Sus scrofa: one gene and its partner. The protein of the gene in region 1 purifies or fractionates together with the protein of each later gene. This does not show direct contact. Links are inferred from orthologs where the notes say so. Each region holds a gene or a part of one and is shown in the gene's direction. Other genes may lie near its edges.

Region 1 (3,818 bases):
GGAATGTCAGCTCCGAGAGGAGTGAAGCTCGCCGGAAACTTCGGGAATGTGATGGTTTGGTGGACGCTCTCATTTTCATTGTTCAGGCTGAGATTGGACAGAAAGATTCAGACAGCAAGGTAGGTTAGTGGGTGAGTGAATTCCATGTACTATAACCATGAGATACTCATAATGCAGACCTATCACCTCAGGCTTTCAAGTAACACCAGATACTGGTCTCTACTCCTTAAAGTGGGTATTCACCTTAGAAGAAAAATGTGTTTTTTAGAATGTCCTGCATCTATTTTTTTTTCTTCTTCTTTTTACAGCAGCCTCTGTGGCATATGGAAGTTCTGGGCTAGGGATTGAATTGGAGTTGTAGCTTGCAGCAATGCCGGATTATTAACCCGCTCAGAGAGGCCAGGGATGGATCCTGCATCCTCACGGATGCTATTTCAGGTTCTTCACCTGCTGAGCCACATCGGGAACTCCTGCACCTGTGTATTTTATTTATCTGTTTGTTTGTTTATTTATTTTTCTTTTTAGGGCCGCACCCATGGCATATGGAGGTTCCCAAGCTAGGGGTCAAATTGGAGCTGTGGCTGCCAGCCTACACCACAGCCATAGCAACATGGGGTCTGAGCCTCGTATGACCTACACCAAAGCTCATGGCAATGCCAGATCCTTAACCCACAGAGTGAGGCTAGGGATCGAAGAACCTGTGTCCTCATGGATGCTAGTCAGATTCTTTTCTGCTGAGCTATGACCGGAACTCCTGCACCTGTATATTTTAAAGCTGTTTAGCGATACTTCCAATTTTTTTCTAATTAGGAAAAAGTCAGAGTGACCTGAGTTTTGTGTTACACACCAAATGGTAGCAGAAACCTTCTGTTAGCCTGAGGCTACAAGAATTTTGAGGAGCCTTGGGCACTTAAGAGGTATTGTTAGAGAGGAGGATTGGGCTATGCTTTTGAAGATCAATATTTTAATACCTGAATTCTGGAAACTGTACTTGCTAGGAAATCACTGTAGTCATTCTCTTCTCTTATCGCACCTTGTATCTTCTGATCCTAAGCTTGTGGAGAACTGTGTTTGCCTCCTTCGGAACTTGTCATATCAAGTTCACCGGGAAATCCCACAGGCAGAACGATACCAAGAGGCACCTCCCAATGTTGCCAACAATACTGGGCCACATGCTGCCAGTTGCTTTGGGGCCAAGAAGGGCAAAGGTGAGTCTTGGTTCCTTGTTCCTTGCTCTTTAATGTAGGACGGGGAGAAGAAGGAACCCTTTTAGCATTAGGTATAAAATACTTGCCCAGCAGTGCAGGAATCTGCCTAGTCACGGGTATCTTTTGGCTCTGCTGCTGCTTTCCCTGTGTCGTGTGTGCTTCATCATGGTGGTGACGATGGTGGTGGTGGTGGTGGTGGTGGTGGTATAAGTGATTGGGCAGTGAAAGCTGAGAACGCAACTAATCTGGGGCCTTCTCCCCCATTCCTCCTTTGTGTTTCCTATGTTTTTCTTTTCCTTTCTGTTTTCCTGCTTATTTTCCCATGATCCTGTTGACACCTCTCTCCCGCATTTTTCTTCCTTCATTTCTCTCCTCTGCTTTCCACCTTGGGTGATGCACTGGAAGATGAGTGGTTCTCCAGAGGTGAGTGGAATCTTTTAAGGCGCTTACCTACTTCTAATTGCATGTTTCAGTTTTAGCTTCCCTGGTATTTCCTTGCCTAACCCTTCCCTGTGGATGCATGTAGGAAAATTCAGTTGAGGAAGACCATTGAAACAAGTTGAGCTCTTCTGAGCTAATGGCTCATAGCATGCTATTTCTGGGCAGCAGCCCCAGTTGTCAGAACCCAGGACAGTAGCAACAATCGTGGTTATCCTTGTCTACCCATTTGCTGCCTGTTTTCTGTTCTTGTTTCTGCATAGCCCCCTGCTGGGACAAGCTGGTAACCCTGGGTTTTTTGTTTCTTTTTTGTTTTTTGCCCCTCTTGATGCATCTCTGATCCAAAGTTTTTGACTAAAGAGTAAAAAAAGATACCAGGTAGACTCTTCTCTTTCTTAAACATTTTACCCTTTCCCCCTTTTTAATTTCCAAAGGGAAAAAACCCACAGAGGATCCAGCAAATGATGCAGTGGATTTCCCTAAAAGAACTAGTCCTGCTCGAGGTAAGCTCTCTTTTTCTTTTCAGGTTCCATGGGTCTCATAAACATAGTCCACAGATAAGTATTTGGCAGCCTAACAGTAGGCTATACAGTATGTTCACTGTTCCGTCTTTGAAGGGTTTGAAATGATGAAAGTGTTTGGAAACTTTAGTATTAGAACAGTAACTTTCTTTTCTTTTTCTTTCTCTCACCTTTTTTTTTTTAAGGGCTGAACCTTTGGCATATGGAAGTTCCCAGGCTAGGTAGGGGTCCAACTGGAGCTGTACCACTGGCCTATGCCACATCCACAAAAATGTCCAGATCTGAGCCGAGTCTGTGACCTGCACCACAACTCATGGCAATGCCCCTGATCCTTAACCCGCTAAGGGAGGCCAGGGAGCCTTTGAAAATTAGAGCAGTAAATTTCAAAGGTCTTCTTGTGGCAGCTATTCAGATTACTTGAGGATAAGGTCCCAATTGTAGTCTAGACCAGAAACTTACATGCCCTTGTTGGGACTTACACTTTACCTTTTGTAAGAAGTCTCTTTGTCACAGCTTGGATCTTTATGTTCATCAATACGATGAATCCAAAATTCATAGCTCTCCATAGATACAGAACTTTAGATATTGTTAAATCTCATGGATACCAGTCAGGTTCGTTATCGCTGAGCCACAACGGGAACTTAGATATTGTTAAATCTGTAAGTGGCTCTTTTACTTAATCATAGTTAAGGTGGGCAGGATGTTTCAGTTAAGTTAGAAATAATTCATTTGAGATGAGGAATCTTTAACTCTCAGTGCTATCGATGAGTAAATGAATCCTTTGAATCCCAAGCAAAGCCAAAGTAAACTGTGGGAGAGAAGAGGCTAGGAGGAAGGAGAGAAGGAGTTGCACATATCTGTTCTGCTCTTGCCAAGGATGAATTATTCTTGAGAAGGCATGGAGTCCAAGTTTGCTGTTGGCTAGGGGAAAGTGTGTAGGGAGTCCACTGGTATAGGAGCATAAACCCGTCAATCCAGAGTACTAACGCTGGACCTGAGCCTTGGTGATAGGTTCTGATAAGCATCCTCTGCTTTCTTGCCCTTTCTTGTGTAGGCTATGAACTTTTATTTCAACCAGAGGTGGTTCGGATATATATCTCACTCCTCAAAGAGAGCAAGACTCCTGCCATCCTAGAAGCCTCAGCCGGGGCCATCCAGAACTTGTGTGCTGGGCGCTGGACGGTGAGTACATTTTCAAAATGAATTTGGAGATGGGAGGACTTAGCTAACTAGTGTGCTGCCTGCCACTTGAAATCCCTTCTTCCCCTTTCCATGCGCTGTTTGTAGTATGGTCGATACATCCGCTCAGCTCTGCGTCAAGAAAAGGCTCTTTCTGCCATTGCTGACCTCCTGACTAATGAACATGAGCGGGTTGTGAAAGCTGCATCTGGAGCACTAAGAAATCTGGCTGTAGATGCTCGCAACAAAGAGTTAATTGGTAAGGAATTGGATCTTAACCATTACCTCAGTGTCTGGTAGAGTGCCTTTAATCCAGCAGGTGCTAAATAATCTGTGAAAGGGCTGAGGAAGGCTCCTAGACTTCCATAGTTTGTGAATCTGAGGGTTGGAGAGGGTTATAGTTTAATGGTTCTTTGGAAGGCAAGACGTGATGACTCTCTAAAAATAGAATAATGATAGCTCTTAGTATTTA
Region 2 (3,818 bases), on another chromosome or scaffold:
TTACAGACACTTGGGTTCCTGTCTATTTAAACCTGCTTCCTAGGATGACAATGAAATAAAGTATAGAGCAGCATGATACTTTCTCAAGGATGCAATTGATTGATCAGTAAATACCATATCTATTCTCTATGGCCTTTCTTCCCAAGATGAGGTCTGTGGGTCTGCAGAACTTGTCTGTAGCCTGTTTCAATATTTCAGAGTTGTGTCTGAGCTGGAAAAGTATTCCCAGGTTCTTTCATGAGCACGTCTTGGTTCTCTATCAGAGTAGGGACCATAAGATTGTAAGCCTTGTGTTCTGCATCTCTTACAACCCCCAGTGCCTAGGGGATGCTGGTGTGCATGGGAGGGGCATGTAAGGACTGAAAGGGCAGGGAAGGCACTGGTCACACTTGGTGGCCACTGGGGGGGAAGGGGGGGACAGGTTGCATGTGTGCGCATTGTTATTGCCCACAGCAGTGCCCCGGACTCAGCATGGGTGACGCAGAGACGTTGTAGAAAAGAAGCAAGAAGTGGCCTTGTACCAAAAACAGTCTGCATAGAGGCTCTGGCAACTAGATTTTTCCAAAGTTATGCAGTGATGGGGCCAGAAGTCTAGAAGCTTTGAGATTTCACCATAATTGAAACTCATGGGAGGGTACTGTTTAGCAACGGTCTGTGATTTTTCTCCTTTTCAAGGAATTCCTCCTATGAGTGGAACAGGAACCCTGCAGATCTATTTACTTGATATTAACGACAATGCCCCGCAAGTGTTACCTCAGGAGGCGGAGACTTGTGAAACTCCGGACCCCAATTCAATTAACATTACAGCACTTGACTATGACATTGATCCAAATGCTGGGCCATTTGCTTTTGATCTTCCTTTGTCTCCAGTGACTATTAAGAGAAATTGGACCATCACTCGACTTAATGGTAAGAACAGGTTAATTATTTGAATGTATGTGCAGTTGAGAGGCATTGAAGCCTGATGTGAAACATTAATTTTAAGGGCTTTATAGTCCTCTCATTAAATATATTTTTAAAGCTACTTAAAGTTTAAATAAGATATCAAAAGCCCCTTAATCCAAAAAAACAGTCCACAATGCAGGATAGTTGAAATCTACTTTATATATACTCTTAGGTAGGCATACATCCTAGAAAATGGTCTGTGGGTTGGAGTTGTATTATGTATGGGCTGTGTATAAACTATCAGACTGTATTTTTTCCTTTTTTGTGTAGGTGATTTTGCTCAGCTTAATTTAAAGATAAAATTTCTTGAAGCCGGGATCTATGAAGTTCCAATCATAATCACGGATTCGGGTAATCCTCCCAAATCAAATATTTCCATCCTTCGAGTGAAGGTTTGCCAGTGTGACTCCAACGGGGACTGCACAGATGTGGATAGAATTGTAGGGGCGGGGCTGGGCACAGGTGCCATCATTGCCATCCTGCTCTGCATCATCATTCTGCTCAGTAAGTACTGATCGTCTCTTGGGTTTAATTCTCTTTGCTTCTGGGATGTTAAGCCAGGTAACTCTTTTTTTTTTTTTTTCCCTGCTTTTTAGGGCCGTACCCACGGCATATGGAGGTTCCCAGGCCAGGAGTCAAATTGGAGCTGTAGCTACTGGCCACAGTCACAGTCATAGCAACGCAGGATCTGAGCCATGTCTGTGACCTACACCACAGCTCACGGTAATGCCTGATTCTTAACCCACTGAGCGAGGCCAGGGATCAAACCTGCATACTCATGGATGCTAGTCAGATTCGTTTCTGCTGAGCCACAACAGGAACTCCTAGCCCAGTAACTTTTTATTGTTGCCCTTCCATGTAATCCAACAATGCTCTTCAGCCTCTGGGCATTTTCTTGCAACCAAGTCTACTGGAGAAGGAGAAAAACCCTGAGCATCCTTTCAAGCCCTTCCACGTTTGCAGCAAACCCAGCCAGCCTACCCTGCCCTACTGCTGTTTCCTGATTCTAGTCCCTTGAGGAACTGTAGCAGACTCTTATCATAGAAAAATGTTAGACAGTCCTAGGTTTGGGCACTTATCGTATGATTTGAGTCTGAATTTATGGTACACAGTTGATAATTTAGGAAAATAAGTATATAGCTTTCCTTCAGTTTCCTTCATATAAAGCACAGTCAGCAACCTGCTCCAGTCATGCAAGGATCAAGGTATTTGTTTCCAAAGGGCTGCATAAAATAGCAAGAGATGGTACTGCATACAGCACATTTGATAATAGGAATGATTACACAGCTCAGTAAATTGTCTGTCTTTAGAACAAGTTCAGATTAAGGAATTGCTCCTTTTTTAGATACTTTGCAGTCTTTGGTTCAATGGAATGCAAGAAATTAACCACTGGAAAGTACTCTAGGAACCACTTCTAAGCACGCAGGTTAAAAGAATAAATTGCCTGGACCCTGTGTTTTATTGTTGAATAGCAGCAGGACTTAGTTTATTGTGTGATCATGCTATGCACCAATCACTTTCTTAAAAATGTTGGCCATTTCTTTTATGTTTTCTCCATTTACGAGTGTTCTGGTAATTTAGAATCCTGTCCTTTTTTTTTTTTTTTTTTCTAAGCAATTACTATAGAAGCCTGAGCATTTTTTACTTCCTGTGTGGAGACTACTTTGACTATAATTTGAAACCTGCATGCTATACTAATAATCCACTTGCTAGATTTAGCCCTAGAACAATGGTAAATGAGATCATGTATCTGGCTTTAAAAGGAGGATATTTACTTTTATGGCCAATAATAAAAATGTGCTCAAATAGGAGTCATTAAATCTTTTGCTTCAGGATGTAAACTGATAGCCCCAGATTTTAGAGAGAATGCATTCCTAGATGTGCACTTAGGGATATGTTTCACTTTCAACTAAAACGTGGCATATGTGCCAGCCTTACCAAGAAAGACTTAGATCTGATGGATTGTGGTGTGAAGAAGTGACTCCAGCAGTTCTGAAGGAAAATGAATCAGGCCTGATGTTCACATCCACCTGCTGGAAAATTTATGGTCGAAGGACAAAAATGTAAAGCATGAAAGCTTAATGTTATTTCAGGGCTCGAACTAATGCCATAGCCTCCTTACCTGAAACATGCAGTTGAATATGAAAAGGAATGCACAATGACACAGTGGAAAGATCTAGGCCTTTGGGAGTCAAAAACGCTCAAGATCCGGTTGCTGCTGCAGGTGTAGTTCACTGTCAAAGTCATCTTGGCAAGCACTTCCCCTCCTTGACAAGCACCCCTTCTCTCTAATTTGGGGAATATATTGATGACTCCCAAGCAGGATGAAACAGCAATTCAATGACAAGTACTGATTTTACTTACTGTTTGTTGTTTTAGAATCTACCAGCCATTATATTAAGCGGAGCCTATCCTCCAGCAAGACAAAGTAAAGGATAGAAATAGTTATTGTCCCCATTTGTAGATGGTAAAACTGAGGACAGATGTCCACTCAGTGAGTTCACAGGGTATCAATTTCTTGACACGAACCCTAGTGCTCTGGGCCTCTGCTTTGTCTTGTTTCTCGTCATGTGAGGCCAAAAATAAGAGAGTGGACAATGCGGTACAAGTTTTCCACCCATATACGTATAAAGTATTAGAGTGGAAGACTGTGATTAGATAGGTCGAGTGTTTTAAATGACTGTGGATTCCTTTTTACTCTTTTCCTGCCTTAGTCCTTGTTCTCATGTTTGTGGTATGGATGAAGCGCCGAGATAAAGAACGCCAGGCCAAGCAACTTTTAATTGATCCAGAAGATGATGTAAGAGATAATATTTTAAAATATGATGAAGAAGGTGGAGGAGAAGAAGACCAGGTGAGCAGTAGTTTAGATC

What was found.
Region 2: the proteins of CTNND1 (region 1) and CDH2 purify together in Homo sapiens (affinity purification with western blotting; 6 studies listed by BioGRID and IntAct, with this or other methods). This does not show direct contact. The link is inferred for Sus scrofa from reciprocal best matches to the Homo sapiens genes CTNND1 and CDH2.

Annotation. Positions count from the first base shown.
Region 1 is NC_010444.4:13,167,438-13,171,255, reverse strand, and holds part of CTNND1 (catenin delta-1), read left to right. Parts: intron 1-1; coding exon 2-119; intron 120-1,054; coding exon 1,055-1,208; intron 1,209-1,613; coding exon 1,614-1,631; intron 1,632-2,080; coding exon 2,081-2,149; intron 2,150-3,221; coding exon 3,222-3,349; intron 3,350-3,454; coding exon 3,455-3,605; intron 3,606-3,818. UniProt on the Homo sapiens protein: Key regulator of cell-cell adhesion that associates with and regulates the cell adhesion properties of both C-, E- and N-cadherins, being critical for their surface stability.
Region 2 is NC_010448.4:112,429,869-112,433,686, reverse strand, and holds part of CDH2 (cadherin-2), read left to right. Parts: intron 1-675; coding exon 676-909; intron 910-1,215; coding exon 1,216-1,449; intron 1,450-3,659; coding exon 3,660-3,799; intron 3,800-3,818. UniProt on the Homo sapiens protein: Calcium-dependent cell adhesion protein; preferentially mediates homotypic cell-cell adhesion by dimerization with a CDH2 chain from another cell. Cadherins may thus contribute to the sorting of heterogeneous cell types.